Linked DNA regions of Drosophila melanogaster. Changing the gene in region 3 together with the main gene of any one other region gives a genetic interaction. Each region holds a gene or a part of one and is shown on either strand. Other genes may lie near its edges.

Region 1 (4,660 bases), on a different chromosome or scaffold from region 3:
ACAACCAGCTGACAGACCGGAAATTGAACTGGCTCATTAAAGGCAATAAAAAAGGAGCTAGGAACGGAAATTCTCGTAATCATATCCAAGCATGCCCTTTGACATTCTTAAGGCGCTGCGGCTTTGGCCAACTTAGCCAAGCCAAGGCCAAGTTATTACCAAGTTGGCGTGTCGACTTAGTCGGGTCTTCGAGAGGCGAGAAAAGTTTTTGGCATTAATGCGAAATGTTTGCTGTTCAGCTTTACGGCTAGTTAGCTATTGGCAGGCAAGAAAAATGCCAAGTATAAACAAAAAGTTACAAACTCTCTAATACCCTTTAAGGTTCATAATTGTAATTTTTTGCAGACTTTCAAAGCAATTGCAAGTGGTTTTTATAAAAGAAATACAAGTGGGGACACCTAAAGGAATCCCCGTGTCTTCTAGGCCGATTTAATAGCGTTATTTTCTATTAAAATCTGCCTGTTAATCGACGCAGCATTTAAGTATCAACTTAATGACAAAACGTTTACATGCATAATTATCCAATTTTTTGCATTTTTAATTTCCTGCCTTAGATGTAGAATGCCAGGTGCCACATGCCCGCTGTGTCCCGTCTCCAGAGCTAAGTTAATGGCCCAGAAGTTGAAGTTCTAGCTGGCAGCCATGACTTGGAGTTAGACTTGGTCTTGGACTTGTTCCCGTGTTCTTGACTTGTCCAACGTCTCTCTTTGTTGGCAGTTGGCTGGCTGGCTGCTGCTGCTGTTGTTAATCATCGGCGTTGCAGCATAAAAATAGAAAGGAAATTCCATGAAATTAAAGTTTTATGCAGCCACAGCCGAGGCAGCGATCAAGTTGAAGTTGAAGTTGAGGTCTAACTCCTCGACTGAGTGTTGAACTTGCAGAGCGATGGGATGGAGCTCGAGGATGGGGCGCTGGAGCTTGGAGCTGAGAGCTGAGAGCTCGGTCTTAGCCAAACGTTTAGCGAAAGCCGCGTCTCGAAGAATGCAGTCGACTTGGCATAATCGAAAGGCATGTGAGAAAAGTTGGAGTCGGCTGGCTGCCAGCCAGCCACCAAACCGGTTCCATTCGACGCGGCTCCACCATCCCAGAGTTGGCTTAACTCAAGTCCAACTGCACCCAGGTAGCATTATGTTCTTACTTTTTTCCTCGGCTTGTTACCAGTTTTTTTTTTCGTTCGTGTTTCTGGCTTTTCTTGGAATGTTTCTGAATGGTTTTTGCTGGAGCTTTTTGCCTGAAGTTTTTATGAACTGCTGAGATTTATAATCTGACCAGGCTGCAAAGCATTGCTACCAAAAAAAAAAGAAAAAAGTGCAGCATAAATCAGGGAGCCCTTTTGGTGGAAACTCAAGATCTTGAAGAACATTCCGAGTAAATCAAGTTGAACAGCATAATTATGCAAAGCAAAAGTATCCCATAGTTTGCGGCTGCAAAAAACTCTCTTCTGGCGAAAGCGGGGGCCAAGTTGGCATTTAATTACACTGTTATTATAATATATTTTCACCCACTCTCGGTTGGTTTCGTTCTCAGCCGCCCCAAACCAATTCATTACTCATTTCAATGGGAAATTTTCCCCATTTTCCATTTTGCCTTTGCCACTTTTCTTTTTTTTCTTCGTTTTGTTTGTTATCGCAGTAATTTATGCAGTTGACAGTCAAATAATTTGGCACACAGTATACATTAAAATAAATTAACTTTACAAAAGAGCTGGGAGAAGAGTTTGTGGTAAGAATATGTGCATGCTTCGGCAGAAATTCATTGGATTTTAAACTGAAATGTGGGACTATATTTGAAATAGTCTAAATAGTCTTTATATACGATCGATTCGAAGAGTTGTAGTCATGCCAAATGATTCATCTTCGGAAACGTGAGAGACTGGAGACCAGTAGAATCCAGTCAATCGTAACTTTTTAGATATATATGTACGTATGTGCGTATGTATGTATGTGCGTTCATGTGATCCAGCCAAAATCAGCTAATTGCTAATTGTGTTTATATATTTCATTTGTTAACCCTCTCTCAACAATTGCTATGTTCAAGTGCAAACTGCAAAGATTTATTGAGTTTTTTAGCTGGGTAATTCATTCTAAATTACTGGTATCGCTATAACCTTAATGGATATACTCCCCCTGATTATTAAAATTAATGCCCCAAAACGTATTTTGAATACTTTAGCTTATTGCGAAGCAAAGTCTAGTATAGTGTTACATAGTTTGAACAGCTGTTTTTAGTTTTCTATACCAATGCATATTGAAGACGTCAAAAACTGGAATTATTACAAAAATGAATATTATGTTTTTACAAATGTCAAAGCAGCAACAACTAGCGTAAAGCTGTAAAAGAATTGCATATGTATATGCAAATCTGATTTTGCACCACAATAAACTCGTTTTGACTTGGCTTTAAATCCGAAGCTCAAGTTAAGCTCAACTTTGGCTGTTGTTACTGTTTTTTTTTTTTTTTTGGTTTTAAACATTTACCATATATATATCGGGATCGGTTTGTATTTGAGTTGCTTTTTTTGGTATATTCCAAAAAGCCGAGTTTTGTTGTCAGTCTGTTTTTGTTTTGATCACATTCGTATGTATAATTAATAAATAAATCCGGTTCGGGCCTTATATAACTTTCTTGCTCATTCAGTGGATTTTTGCCAACGTTTCGGTTTTAACTATTTATTAATTCCAAGAACACCTCGCACAGCACACAGCACACGGAATGTGGGGAAAATCGCGAAAAACCGAAATAACGACAACGCGACACCGATTAAAACGATCCCCGTGTTAAGAGCCCGGTGCCCGGTAAATGGATGGCTGGGATCGGCTTGGCCCAAAAGGCCTGGACTACTTAGGTGTTAACTTTTTTACTATGACCCCCCCGGAAATTGGAAAAAGGTTACACTATCCCTACGCGGACATTTGGACAACCGACGACGACAGTGGGCCGAAAGCGAATGGAAGCGGAGGGAAAACGGAACGCGTTTGTCCGGCAAGCGGTAAGCGGTTAGCTCGATGCGGCGGCTCAAATTGCTCTACTGTACTGGCTGACTCTGGCCGCACGCTCAGCGCTGTTTGAGTCGAGAGGAAAGAGTGCGAGCGTGCAAAGAGCGGAAGAGAGCGACAGCTGTTACAGGGTGTTTCGGCCTGTGTGTGTGTGCACTGAGAAAAATCGAACAAATTGGCCCTGATTTCAACTAAATGTGGTGTTAAGATCACTTTGAGGGAAGAGTGATCTTACTACTTTTCTATCGATTTGGAAAAGGTCGTCATCAAAGGGTATTGCCTTATTCTATTACGCGCTTTTAATACAACCTATTAAGCCATTATTATCATAGTGTTTTATTTTATTTATTATATTACAAGTTGTTAAGTCCTCTTAAAACTTTAAAGTGATTTTTTCAGTGCACCAGTACGTTTGTGGATTTGCTCAGTTCCATTGTGTTTATTTACTACCAACGACGACGTCGTTTTGCTTCTTCCATCTCACCTCCGCTCTGCTGCGTTTGTATTTGTTGTGATAATGATAAAACTGCGACGCGTTTCTGCAGCTTGTAGGTTTTCAAGAGTGGGAGTGAGATAGCAGAAGTTGAGCGAGCGAGAGTGGCGTTTAAGGTATCTCGGCCAGGTATAATCTCAGATGCGCTGCATTTAGAGATCGCGATTTGGTGACCGTGGCTTAAAAGATTTGCGGTTGGGATAAGTTGAGAAAATTCTTGGAAAACACGAGCTCAATTTTATTATTTAACTCTGGGAATTTCCCAAATGGGCCAGTGCTAAGATAATTACAAAGCCGGGTAGTTCAAAAAGGTCCTCTTATTGTTTTGTAATATCTCTGGCTCTCAGATTTATCGCTAACCCATACGCCTTGGATTTAAAGTTCGGAATTGTCTTTAGTCGTCTTTCTTTAGCAGCGCTCAAATTCTTGGAAACTTTGTAAAATAAATTATGAATTTTGCACGGGTGTAAAAATTACAAGTTTTAAGGATGTTATCTTTAAAAACTTGCGTAATAAAAATTACTAATCCCGAAAATTTTTTTGTCTTCGAAATCAGGATTTGAGATACCCCATTGAAGTGATAGAAGGGCATTCAAAACCAGTTGGTTTCGTTGGTTCTGCAGCTGCCAGTTTTTTCCACATGGAGTATGAAGAGCGAGTGGTTTGGTTTGAATGGAAATGATTATGGCACTCAAGAGAGTCATCAAAGAGAGTTACCAAAGACTTAGCTATTAACAAAATGCAAAAGATGGCTAGGTGGTTATGAAATCCCAACGGACATACAAAACAAATGAAAAGAATAAAAACTGATTAACTGAACAATAATCAAGGCTCGGTAATCAATGTATTGAACTTATCGATTTGAATTAGTTGCCCAACCTAAATTCCGTGACAACAATGGCAAAATGATCGATCGAAACCGTAGAACAAAAGAGCGCGCGATGCAAGGTCGTTCGCTCTTTAAGAGAAAATTGTACCCTAAGAGAAACATAGATAACTCCGAAAGATAAATACCCAAATGTGCGCGTGAGACAGTCATACATATAGATAATAAGAGAGTTTTCAGCAATGAAACGTGCGAAAAATTGCAATGCAGCAGCGACTTTAATCCAGGTAGCCCATAAAATCAGGTAGTAAAAAGAATGGTATCAAAACTATTGGGAGCAAACCA
Region 2 (7,423 bases), on a different chromosome or scaffold from region 3:
CATATGTATACACATACATAATTAATGGAAAAAAATGTAAGATATGTCGCCAAAAATAAAATTTGACATGTCCTTGCATAATAAGATGAATAAGATTTTGTGTGGAATACACAAACGACTGCCAAACGAGTCCGCGATTCATAAGCACCTACCGCAATCATTGCAATTAAAAGAAATGATCTCGTTTCCCTAAGATTGATAAACCAAGTTTCATGGCATCTAGTGAGAAGATATTCTGCTGCCGTCATTAATACATATGTATATGGCAGCGTCTCCCAGCTGAAAGATGAGGGGCAACGAATGGAGGATTCAAAAATCGTTGTTTCTTCGCCGAATAAAAGGGTATTTGAGATTCGTTGAAAAGTATGCAACAGTCAGAATTACGCGTTTCCAACGTAACTAAATTTATATTCTTGATCAAGGTAAACAGTCGAGTCGATATAACCATGACCCATGATGCACATTCTAGAATAGCCAGTGTTTTATTAGTTAAGTGCCACGGTTTCAAAACAGTCACACACACACTTTTAAAAAACCTTTTCTTTTTATTTTAAATTTTAAAACAGAATAGTTGCGTATTACTTATAGCAACCATTAACCAGTTAACAAGAACGTGTTAAGGTATGCAATGTGAATATGTTTATATTACTATGTTTGCACAAGAAGACAGCTATTTCTGCAATATCGTGTTAAACTTGCTGATTGCCTCGGCAACATATTTTTCCTTTTCGGCCAACGCACATTTAAGCTGCGTACGCAGTTGCTGCAGATTAGGCATGGTGCGACAATCTCTAATGTTAAGCAGAGTGCGGAAGATGTTTTCCCACATTGTGCGCTGAAAGTAGCGTGGCACGTTTGTTTTCGGCATCCAAATCGTGCTCGGAGACCGCTGCACTACTTCCATATAGCGGCCGAAAAGCAGCACATGCATAACGCTTACGAGACCATATAAATCCAATTGGTAAGTCCATGGGCGTCCCGTTCTCATCTCAATGCACTTGAATAGGTCATCATGATGAACATAGTTGAATGTCTGATTGTCCGGAAACAGCTTCATGTCAATAGACACACCGAAATCAATAAGCTGCAGGCTGACTTCGTTGGGATCCGCACATATCCTGAAACAGAAAAAACCTGTGATATTATTGGTGTTGACGAAGAAGCTTTCTGGTTATTACGGTTTCATAAGTAGAAAGTTATCCGGCTTGATGTCGGCGTGGATTATACCCATGGCGTGCAGGTGATCCACAATATCGAGCATTTGGCAACTCAGATGCATTACCACATACTCGTCCATATTCCTGTTAGTGACACTCTTAACCTTGTTGCATACACCGATCAGAGAACCATAGTCTGAAAACTCTGAGATGTATACACTGGAATTATTTCCTACCAGTGCATAGTCAATATGTGCATAGGATGGAATCTGTAAAAGAATTTGCATTCGGTTAATTCGTGTCATGTGACAAGTATTAATAATTATCCCTCTATATGATATGAATAGGTAATATTCTAGGATAATAAACTTGGAATAAAAACTATTTGAAAAATCGGATTTAATGTCCATATATTATTAGTTATGCCTTACCATTTGCTCACTAGTTAGCCGGCTGTGAATCTCTAGACAAATGTAGAACTCCCAGTAGTTAGTGGGCCGTTCCTGCTTGAGCGCGACCTTCTTGCCAGATTTCAGATGCTTTCCTACATAAACCGAGCCATAAGCCCCCTTTCCTATCATTTTAGACACCTCAAACTTTTCGTTGTGCACTTCCAGGTGGGTGTTAGGATGTAGGCGCTTAACGTGTCCAACCAGTTGACAATGGGGCAGCTTTTCGATGTACATAGAAAAGTCAATTGATTCGAGTAGCGAGCTGATCAGTTCTACATTGAAAGGGTTTTTATTAGCGTCTGCCAGCGTTTCGTTCAAAACAGTTTGATCTCCGTTTGAGGTGGGGTGAACAAAGTTTTCCCGCGGAGGAGTTTCTAAATCAGACTGCGACCAGGAACGGTGCGATTGCTTCGGCGTCAGTGGAGTTGTCTTATAGTAGATGCTTAGTTCCGACGCCTCTGCTACCTTTGCGTTAGGGATCAGCAGTGTGGAATTTTTTATCATACTGATATTTGTTGCAAACATTTCAGTAGCTGCGTTAAGCTCGAAAAACTCGTCAGGTTGTTTTGAAATACCGACATTTTCATTCACAGGGGCTTTCCTTGACGATTCTGACATGGAATCGTTGGAAAATTTGATCTTATTCGATGTGCTTGAAATATTCGTTTTGACAACGGAAGCCGGCATCTGTGAAGGACAGCTGCCTATTTCTGTGCAATCTTTCATAAACGAGGCAATCATATGGGAGTGCCCAATATTTTCCTGTTGAGTCCCTGGCTCCTTAATTGCCACCTGTTGCGTTTCGGGCAGCGTGCAGTCTAAGTCAAAGCTGGAGACCATTAAAGCTACTGGTTTTGACTTAGTGAGCTTTGGCTGCGTGTCGTCCAGAAAAATATCAAACTTCTGTATCGCCCCTGATTTTGCTACAGCTTCAGGCTGCGTTTCGGGCACAAAGGAAAGGTCGCACATAAAGGAATCCTGCAGATTGCTGATGCTGGGCGCAGCCTCCAGTTTGTTGCCAGTCACTGCGAAGGATCTCCGATCGCCCTGTGTCGATTTAAAAAGCTGTGAAGTTGGATCGAAATTGCGCTTCGGAGAGCCAAAAATATTTGTTTTCGGCGGTGTCTTTCCAAACAATCCACACAAATCGCTTTCATCCTCCAAAGTGGGAAGTTGCGGTGCGGAAAAACAATTTTCAGCTCCCAGTGAGCCATGATCCATAGAATTCTCCGGCAGTGCGATCGGCATTTGTGGGAGTGTTTCAGTTTTATCTTCCTGAAAGCAAGCAAGAGGTCTTGGGATAGTCTCTGTCTTATCCTCTTGGAAGCGCAACGACTTAAGCATAGGCACGCTAGGCGCATTGGGCTCCCATAACTCACGGCGCAAAAAGTTGTCACCACCCGGTTTTTCCGGCTCGGAAAGGACTGCTGATACACCAGCACTTATCACGCGCTGCAGACGCATTTGTCCAGGAGTGTTCTCTTCAATCTTGCTGCCTAGTTTAGAAACAGCATTGGATCCGGGTGAAGACGTGGAGGTAATAGTGGATTTAGTGGTGGTACCGCTCGTCGCCAAGCTTTGTGTGCCGTGCTCAGAGGTTTCCAATATGGTAGATAGTTGCTTTCGCAAAGTTGGAGAACGAGTCTCCACTGGAGATTCGACGGAATGAGCAGCCTCCTCTGGTAGCGGTAGTTCTTTGAGCACGGTTCCAAATTGACGTGACGGAGCCTGTTTCTGTGTTCCCTTAGGAGTGCTTACTGCCTGCGACTTTATGAACATGTTGAACATTTGCGTGGAGCAGGTCTCATCTCCGTCATAAAACGGCCTTGTTTTTGGAGTTGGCTGCGGCTCTTCAGAGTCTTCATAGATCTCTATTTTCGGAACAGGAACGGCCGGTACAGCAAAATTGTCACGTGGAGAACCGGAATCCTCAAATATTTTAATTTTTGGCTCATCTATTTGATCGCACGGCGATTCAGGTATCTTAGGTGCCACCTGAGAAGGTATATCTTTTACAATCAAAGTGGCTTCATCCTCTTTCTTTTCATCCTCCTCCTGCACAGACGAAACTCTGCGTGGCATGATGGATTTTCTGAAGGAAGAGGGAAAGAAGCTCTTGCGGCGTGGCATCTTGTTTCCGGGCAAGCAAACGGTTTCTTCCATGTCAAAGTCACCATGAACTGTCACATTTCGTTTTTCCATCCATTTAGCTGCCAACAACTCCTCTGGCTGGTACTCCTTTTGCTCAACTTCGTTGTAAATTTTGTCAAAAACTACCTGAAGGCCCGGTACCAGTGGGGGTTTCCAAAACTTGTCTAGCTCATCGAGATCTTGTGGCTTAGAATATCTGGCGAAATTCGGATAGCAGCGAATTCCTCTGATCACCCGTCCAGTGCCCCACCAATCATCATTGCGATGGATAAATGGATGCTGTGGGTTGCGATGCTTCAAAAAGGAATAGGCTCGATACTCTTCGGGCGAGAACTCGATGTTGGGGCGGGGGTAGAGGAGACACTTGTTATAGCAAGGCAGTCCACTTGCGTTTGGCTCGTCCTCAATAGTAACTGGCGTCACCCACGGTTCCTGAGGCCTGTTCTTGGCCACAAAGTTTGTCGGAAATCTAAATGGTTGTTCTAGACGACGCTCGTAGTTTGTAATAGGTGGCATTGCTTGTTCGTCAACGTGTATATCAAAGCCCAGATCCGGCGAGGCGTTACTGCCGAAAATTTTTCCATGTTTGTGGCGTTTAGCATTTGCCTTATTCCAGGCCACCGGTTCTTTTATATTCTCCTGACTGCAAGCCGAGTCGATAATGGATCGCAGGCTTGACTTCACCTCCGTCTCAGAATTAGAGATCGGAATATTTCCCTCAGAATTTTCGTCATTAAACACCTCAACGTTCCGACCTACATTGCGCCTACTGGTGGTGGTTGAAGGCTCGACCTGCAGAATGACAATGTATATTTTTAAAGAAATTTTATTCGATTTAAACCTTTTTTATTACTACTGTATATTGATATAAAAGCTTAGGTGGATTTAAAATCCCTTAGAAAAAATCGAGCTTAACGGCGGGATCTCCAAAAAGTTGGACAGGTTCACCCTAAGCCGTTTAATAAAATACAAATACAAATTAAGGTAAGGTGCACCTGATAGTCAAGGAAACCGACTCGTTCTCTATCGTTCTCTGTTGTTTCTGAATTCTAGAGAAGATAGTCATTAAACATGCATCAAACATAAGTTATAAAAGCAAAATTATACTTGAAACCGATTTCTCTAGCCAACCAAGTTCTTTGTAAACATGAAATAAAAAATCACCCACCTGAACCACGCCTGGGAGGCCGCTTTTAACTGCTGCTCCGGTACGGATGCTGCCCACGGTGATGCTGTTAGAGATCTGCTGCCGGCGACCATGAAGTGATTGCAGTGCTAGCCGTCGCTCGTTAAGTTCCTGGTTTACTGCGTTGGCCTCTTCACCAGTGCTGTAGAGCATGCGCTGGCCCACCGTATAGCCAAAGTGGTGGTGGGCCTCCTTCAGATCCTCTAAGGGCTCTGCGCGGCACTCTAGACCTAAGCGAAAGATCTCGTCGGCCTTGCGCATGTTACCGCTCAGGTCGTAGCTGTAGGCCCAAGCAATGTAGAAATCTGCCAGCATTGTTCCGATCCCGTTGTTGTACATCTGCTGATAAAACTCGATCTTGTCCTTCTGTTTCTCCATCTAAAAAGTGACGAAGTAAAATCGGTGGTTGAGTGATCGTTTAAAATATCATCGGCTACTCACGAATTTAATGAAAAGCTTTATAAGCCGCTTGTCCTGACGGTAGCGCTCGTCGTCTTCAAATTTGGTGAGGCACTGGTGTAGGACAGTCTGCAGACCGGAGCCACTGCCCCCCGCCGGATAGCTCTGCTCGATCCAGCAGATGAACGTGTACCAGGCACCGAGAGGATCCGCGCCTTTGTAGGTGCGCACCTCCTCCTCCATTTGCTTGCGTTGTGCCAGCAGTTCCTGGCCGTGGGTGGAGTCCTGGCTAAGAGAAGCCTGCAGAAGGCTCACATTGCGACCGCTGGCCAGCGGCTGAATGTTCTCTTTCGCATTGTCAAAGTCCATATCGTTCTCCTCAAGCAAATGACCTGAAACTTTTGGTTGTCTTGTATCGGTTAAACAAAAACTACGCGCCGAAGCAAATGCTAGAGATGAATGATACTACGCTCTTTCGATATTTTTAATTGTGTCGTATCGATACTTCGATTGAAAAACTGTTCTCACTGAAGCCGAAATACATACGATAAAAATTGAATTGCTTAGCAACACAACGTCATCACTGACCACCACTTTTAATTGGTAACGAAGCTCACCATCTTGACCAGTAAAAAAGAAGCGTAAGAACAGCTTACTCCAGTTACTATTACATTTCTGGTGCTCCTCAAATCTTTGTGATCTAATATTTATTTGATCAACTTTCATTATTGCTTCGAAAATTATGATATTTTAAAATCACCGCCATATCTGTACAATAATTAATTTTTCTTTTCCCTTCGAGTTTTGATAAGGCACGAAATATGTTTTGCATATATATGGCTTTTTATTGTATATATTGTTGTCATGACATATGTTTTAAAAAGGTCTAATTGCGAAATCAGTAATCGTCTAAAATGCTAGCAGAGATAAAAAATAATGATTACACAGGTTCACCAAAAGCCTTTATAGAATGAATGTTTTTGATCTCATTTTGTGACAATAAACGATTTCCACGCCTTCACAAACGAAATTCCAGCAATATATGTATGTATGCAACAGGTTAGGGAATGTCAGCGGAACTATCATATTTGGTTACTATTTACATACGTTAACTCGTGAATCTATTCGGATCGCACATGCGTATTTAATGCCAAAAAACCAAAAGATTCAATGCGTCTTATTTGTATAATCCCTTCAGCATATCGAAATGCGAATAGTAATGTTTATTATTCTTTTTGTTTTTGAAAAAACCAATACATTTTTTTTATGTATCCGTTAAAAGTTACCCCAGCGGCCGCCTTGGTCGCCATTTCTAAAGCCGCCGCCTGATCCTCTATTGCTTTCAAATGAGTCTCCAAATCCACCTCTCTTGTTCCCATATCCTCCGCCATTGTTTCCATATCCTCCACCATTATTTCTATAACCTCCGCCATTATTTCCATATCCACCATTATTTCCATAACCTCCTGCATTATTTCCATATCCTCCTCCAATATTTCCATATCCTCCTCCATTATTTCCATATCCTCCTCCATTATTTCCATATCCTCCTCCAAAAGTTCTGCCGTTTCCACGGCGACCAAAGCTGCTGTTAGTAAAGCGTCCTGTCTCAAAGCGACCTCGTTTGGGCGGTCCTCCGCCGTCACTGAACTGACGTGATTGGTGCGGCAGAATTCCTGATTCACGCTGCAGTCCGAAGTCTCCGGCGCTCTTAACGCAAAGGTCTTTGACCACTTTGACCAGCTGTGCATAGGGCTCCTCAAGGCGAAGTATGTCGGAAGGGTTGTCGCACGCCACCGTGATAAGATCCTCCAGGGCCGGCTTAAGGGCACCAATCTTGGCCGCAAGTTCCGGCTCTATGTCGAAGTTAAGCCAGTTGTCAACGCGCACTATATTGTTGGCGGCCAAGTCAATCTTGCGCGATCCAAACAATATCACCTGCAAGGGCGAGACCATAGATAGTTGCTTGCAGGAAACAGCTCGCGTGCGAATCTTCTCGCCGAAAACGAAGAACGGATACGGAAATGTGACGGCCAAGTTGCTGCAATTCACCGAGGTTTTGTGCAGTAACGCTGCTT
Region 3 (6,108 bases):
GCTCAGTACCTTGTGGGGTTGTGGAGATGCTAGGCTAGACCAGACACAGCTCCATTTCCCCACTCCCACAGAAATTGCGAAACTTCTTTGATTTGATACGCACCCGAACAGCGATCCCAGAAAGCCCTTCTGCTGGGTCAACTTCTTCTCCGCCTCGGCCATCAGCTGGAGCGCCTTCTGTTCGTTGTCACCCATGTCGAGGATTTATGTCCGCCTCGGCACTAATTGCATCTAAGTTTAAGACTTGTTCGGCTTTTCAGCGAGTGTGTGTACGTATTGGGATCTTTTTTCGAGAAAATAAAATCAATATGCTGACTTGGTGTGACCGCAGAAGTGGTGCCAGTGTTACCATCTCACAGCATTCTCAAATAACTCATGCCAGTGTTGTGAAATGCAAGGGCTGTAACGTTTGTTCGTTCAAAATAATTCTCAGCCGCCTGAATGCGTCACCTACAGTCTGGCAGGTGCATTTTAAGAACAGCTGCCCTAAACGTTGCAAACAATCTTTTTTCAGATATTTTATTAAATTTTATATATATTCGCTTTTAGTTCAAAAGCATTTACATATTGTATCCTATAGCTACAGATATTTCTGGCCAAAGTTGAATATACTTGTACACTTAAACACTTTGCAGCAGTATTGTAACTTATGTATTATTTTAAATGGCGCTATAGCGCACTACGAACGCACAATATTACACTATTACTTTTATAATGTATCCAGCATTAAAATTTTGTTATCAGTCACCTCGGTGAATATAGGCATTTCGAAACACGTTTGCTTAGTTTAAACATTTAATTTGATCTCTTTAAAATGCATTAAGTGATCGGATCGTGTACGAAAACCATTAAACAGATATATTAAATTACTTTTGAGGGAGGCCCAACACTGACGATGAATATAACTTAAGCAGTATTTTCGATATGAAGGGGAAGGGGCAAAAACAAATAAATTCTATAAACATCGAACAAATCAATTTGAACGGGAACTACAATTTTAAAAGATGATGGGAGAGGAGGATACTTTCTGGGCTATAAATGAAGTTGGCCAGGGCATTCGTGAATTACGTTAAACTAACATTCGGCCTTATAATGATAGTTGGGCTGGCTACGCTTATGTGAACATCTTCTCCAGCATTTTCCTAAGTTTCTCCTGGGCATATCGGATCTTCTGGTACAAGTCTTTAGACACGCCGTTCTCCACAATGGTCGAAAATCGGTAGGTGCGGAAGTTCTTCTCCTGGTCCATATAGGTTATAGCACTCATGCGCGGGCAGAGGATGAGCTTCATGTGATCTGAGAAGTTTAGCTAAGAAGGATAGATAGTTCATTAGGACCAGATGTACATGATGCCGATGCTGTACAATTATACAAACCTGCACAGAACCGTTGGTCAAATGCATAACTACGGCACATGTTGTACGGAACCAGGAGTGTAAATGGGGCATACGCGAGATTTGATCGCTCTCAATGTTCACATTGTTGGCACCTGCCTTCACCAGGTGCTCGATCATGTAGCGCTTAAAGTACGACAGCAGCTTCATCTTCTTGTCAAGCGACTTGCAGTAATCCGTGGTGGTCATGTACGTCTCCTTGCCATCCTTGTCGATGAAGTGTACGTTGATCTGATTCGGCAGCAGGATCAGCTTTGTGGTGTCGTTGAACATCACGCCGATGCCCTCATCGCACAGCTGGTAACCAAATCCGTACTTGTCGCTGTAGTCAACCCACTTGGATATCCAGAAGAGCGGCTGCGCTGCAGGATCTGTGTTCTCGTCGCCCAGATTGCCTTGCAGAATTCGCGGCTAAAGAAGTGAAGAGGTATAAGAGTCTTAAATTATTTAACTAATATAGAGCAAAAGGTACTTACCTTTCCGTTGATAAGATTAGTGAGCTGCTGGTACAGGCTCTCGATATCGCTGCGATAGTCCTCGCTGTGGCGGCACACCTGCGCTGACGCGGTAATGGCGTCGTGCAGATTGGCCTTGAGGAAGGTCGACTCCAGACGAGTGTCGTCGGGCCTGATGCCGTTCATCTCCATCAGTGGCTTGCGGTGCATCGAATCCTCGATGGTGTCGTTGCTGCCGATACGCGGCGCCATTGTCAGACAAGAGCTGGGCAAGAACATGGGCACCTTTGAGCCCTTGAGGAACTCAAAGTTCAGCAGCTGACCAATTGCCGGGCGGCTCTCCGGATTTGGCTGCAGCATGGCGATGACCATATCCGCCGCCGGTTTCCTTAAGTAGCTGGGCACGCGGTACTCGCACTTCTTGATTTTCGAGTACGTATCCTTCAGAGTCTTGGTTTCGAACGGCGGCTGGCCCACAAGCAGTGTGTACATGACGCAGCCAATCGACCAGATGTCCACCTCGAAGGAGTGGCCCTTCTTGGTGAGGATCTCCGGGGCTATATAGTTGGGCGTTCCGCATAAGGTCTTTTTTCGCTCGCCCTCATACTCAATGCGCGTGGCCAACCCGAAATCCCCGATCTTCACGTGCAACAAATCGTTGAGGAAGAGATTGCCCAGCTTCAGATCTCGATGGATAATGCGGTTATCGTGCAAGTACTTAACGCCCTGGATTATCTGGTAAATGTAGTAGCGGCATTCGAACTCCGTAATGCTTTTCCTACGTTTGTGCAGCTCCATCATGGACTGTAAGTCGGAGAGGTAAGTGTCATGGTGGCATATTGCAGAGATGTTCTATTAAACTCACTCTTTTCTTGCACAGCTCCAGCACAATGTAGATATTCTGCGAATCTTCAAAGTAGTTGTGAAACTTGACAATGTTCGGATGGTTAAGGCTGCGGTGAATAGTTATCTCCTGGGCGGTCTTCTCCTTCTGATTGTGTTTGATCATCAGCTTCTTGGATACGATCTTGCCGGCGAAGACGTCGTCGGTTTCCACATCGATGATCTCGTAACATTTTGCAAACCCGCCCTGCATAAAGCATATTAATTTTGTATTTAAAAACATTATACAAAAACATAACCTTATACTGTATTAAAAACAGATCTATGATAAAACTTTGCATATAGGTATTTTCAAGTAAATGGCGTTTAATAAACGTATTGATGTCTATTTTACAAACATATTCTGTATAAACTTTTTATCCATATTGGTTGGCAACATAAAATTAGTAATTTATATTTAACAATCACATGTTTAGTACCTTTGCTCCAATCTGCGGAGCCCCTTCCAAGAAAATATTTATATGCCAATAGCACAACGAGGAAATTGTTGGTTCAACTAAGTTGCAACAGTTCCTTTTCTTGTCTATGTAAATTCGAAGAAGCCGCGCCAAAAAAAAAAACTGAACAAGCAGCCAACTGCATGAACACACACACACAGGCTCGTACAAGATTCCCACACACAGGCTCTCTTTTTCTCTCCTGCTCTTAAAGGAGAGAGCTACAAAAACAACAAGGGAATGCTCATCAGCAAGGAAAACGGAACGAAAACCGGGATGTGGAAATGGATATGTGTGTATGCGGGTGCGTGCATGTGTGCGTGTAGGTAAATGTGTGATCCCTTCGACTGATCTGATCCCGGGCATCTGCAAATCCGCATCCGGACTCACCTTGCCGAAGAACCGCATGCGCTTGTAGGTTTTCCGCTGGTTGATGTCGACGAGGCGATCCGGAATATCCGTGCTCTTATCCTCGGGCTTCGCGGCCATCTTGCTCTCCTTTCTTCTTTACTACGGACTGCCCCTTTTGCGTTTGCGTTCGCCTGGAGTTTTGCGGCGATACTCCTCGTTCTGAGCCTATAATTCCACCGGCGATCGGCTGAAAGTGCCTCGGAAACGGAGATCAGATCCACACGGTTGACAAGAGAAGCGGCGATCAAATCTCGGTTTTGCCCATCGAATGCACGAAAACCAAGCACAAAGCGGAGAACGCGCCGAAACCGTTCGATTTTTTAAATGCCAAAATGAATTGGACGTGAAGCGTCAGCTGAATTGGTGTGCCCGTTTCGCTGGCTATCGCACACTTTCTGGTATGTATCGCGGTATTTTGTTGAGTGTTGAACAACAAATTCTATGGCCGTTACCCTTTTGAATTTACCTACTGGCGTTTACTCTGTTCGAATTGAGCGCAATATTTTTTCCTATTGCTCTGCGCAACACTGTGTTTAACCGCTATTTATTTGAAAATCTACAAAAACTAACGTTACATTTTTGAAATTTCAAAAGGGTTTCATAAATTGAGTTTACTAAACAGTCAACGGTCAACTTTATATTGTAGAGCCCCTTTTCTAATTTGAATTGCTGCAAACGTTTTCTGAGTAAAAATACTGCCACCTTGTAATTGCAGGTTTCGATCCTGATTTGTGTTAAAAAGAAATTATTAGAAACAGCTATCTCAAAGCCTTCTATGTTTTTCAGTTAAACTTTCAAATAACGGTTAAAAATAATTTTGATAAAAAAAAAACAACACTAAAACACACACAAGTAAATAGAAAAAATAATGTGTTTACTTAATAACTTTATTAAATAATCCCCAGATTTTGTTTTTCTACATTGATTTAATAACGACTACGAATACCCCACTATTGGTGTAGATTTCCGTTTAGATTTTGACTATGCCTGCTGATATCTCGAAGGGGTCGCTTGGGTTGGAGGATTGTATGTTCTAGAATAGGTCTATTTGGGGTCTCTTGGTTATTGCCATCGTTTCGTTCTCTGGGATTACTCCTTACAAGCTGCCCCGTTTTGGCTCTTGTTGCTGTTCTGATTTTAATGTTTTGTTTTTGTTTGCGAAAGAGGCCTTATAAGTAGAAAAATGTGGTTTTAGTTCTTAGTTGTCGTCGTTAATACATAAATTATTACATTAAATATATTATCAATAGTTTAGTTTCATAGTTGGTTGCTTTGCCAGTGTACGCAGTCTCTCCAAAATGCCTTGTGTTTCCGTGTGGGTGAGTGTGTGCTTGTGTGTTTTAGGCCGAAGAAGTGGCTGGTGGATCTGATCGTGGATCTGAGTGTGGGTGTGGGTGTCAGTGAGTGTCCTGCGGTTATGTCTTAAATTTTCGCCGATCTATCTTATCAGCATTCCCATCCCATCGCATCGCATCCCATCTCCGACTCAGTCTCCGCGAACTCCTCTCCGCACTGAGCTCCCAAAGTTGAACTAGAAATAGGCGACTCGATACAGCTTTTCTCAGCTAGATCCGGTTGTGGAGGTGACCTGACTCCGCTGCAGGCGCAGCCATTCAACAAACTCATCCAGCATGACGGGCCCTGCAAAAAGATGGGGGTAACTAAATGCTCCGTTTCAAGTTCTTATTTTAACTTATTTATCAGCTTCTTTTAATACGGTTGCGAAATACATAGTTCAGTTTAGTTTAGTTAGCTCCTTTGTGTTACTTACAAGCTCCGTCGATATCGTAGTTTGATAGATCAATGCTAATGGTGCGCGAGAACTCGAGAATATTACACCACTGATCTTTGTTGATCGCCTTGTACTTTGATTGCTCTAGAAACTGTGCGAACTGTGGATACAGAGGCCAATGTTTGCCCAAAAGTAGTTGAAGCATGGCTTTGGCAGTGAGTATATCCATACACCGTTGGTCCGAGTCCTGCGGAATATGCAGAGCCTTATTAAACGCAGCTCATTGTTTATTCAAATGGATTACTGACCTTGGCAAAGTCGTAGGCGTATCTGTAGATGCTTTTAAAGGAGTTGGGATCGTTGAGTATGCTGCGCAGATAGTCCAATTTCACAACCATTTTCGCTGCCGAATCGCAGTCGAGTTCTGTGAGGCCCTTTAGCCACTCCTGCTGGCTGAAGAAGCCCATCTGGGTGGCGCCCATTTTGTAGGCCAGCACCAGCATCACAATATTCTCGGGCTCCACGCCGATATCCTCGCAGAATTTTTCCATGCCATCGGGACCTGAAGAATCAGTTTGTTACATAAGTATTTCGAAGGGCCAATAAGAAATAAATAAGCAATTTCTTTATATACCCAGAATTTGGTATGCCTGAGCGATTTAAGAAGATTGCCGATATCTTTATATTGCACATATTCAAATAACATAAAACACTGCAGTGTCATCCAACTCACCCAATGTCTCCGGTTCATCTGGTGTTGTGTACTCCTGGAACCA

The links. A genetic interaction does not mean that the proteins touch.
Region 1: of polo (region 3) and numb, changing one suppresses a phenotype caused by changing the other (phenotypic suppression), as found in Drosophila melanogaster (2 studies listed by BioGRID).
Region 2: of polo (region 3) and BubR1, changing one suppresses a phenotype caused by changing the other (phenotypic suppression), as found in Drosophila melanogaster (2 studies listed by BioGRID).

Annotation. Positions count from the first base shown.
Region 1 is NT_033779.5:9,448,199-9,452,858, reverse strand, and holds the start of numb (numb), read right to left. Parts: upstream 3,030-4,660; 5' UTR 2,478-3,029; intron 2,264-2,477; 5' UTR 2,239-2,263; intron 1-2,238.
Region 2 is NT_033778.4:5,968,570-5,975,992, forward strand, and holds BubR1 (Bub1-related kinase), read right to left. Parts: upstream 5,817-7,423; 5' UTR 5,715-5,816; coding exon 5,388-5,714; intron 5,325-5,387; coding exon 4,929-5,324; intron 4,553-4,928; coding exon 1,589-4,552; intron 1,427-1,588; coding exon 1,179-1,426; intron 1,119-1,178; coding exon 671-1,118; 3' UTR 530-670; downstream 1-529. Other genes in the region: mle (maleless), read right to left, coding at 6,621-7,423.
Region 3 is NT_037436.4:20,307,880-20,313,987, reverse strand, and holds polo (polo), read right to left. Parts: upstream 4,335-6,108; 5' UTR 3,679-4,334; coding exon 3,580-3,678; intron 2,940-3,579; coding exon 2,715-2,939; intron 2,654-2,714; coding exon 1,871-2,653; intron 1,806-1,870; coding exon 1,377-1,805; intron 1,310-1,376; coding exon 1,115-1,309; 3' UTR 522-1,114; downstream 1-521. Other genes in the region: alphaSnap (alpha soluble NSF attachment protein), read right to left, coding at 104-195; SCCRO4 (squamous cell carcinoma-related oncogene 4), read right to left, coding at 5,162-5,241, 5,372-5,579, 5,641-5,894, 6,066-6,108. UniProt on the Drosophila melanogaster protein: May play a role in regulating both nuclear and cytoplasmic aspects of the mitotic cycle. Regulates localization of the augmin complex during mitosis by ensuring its location on mitotic spindles.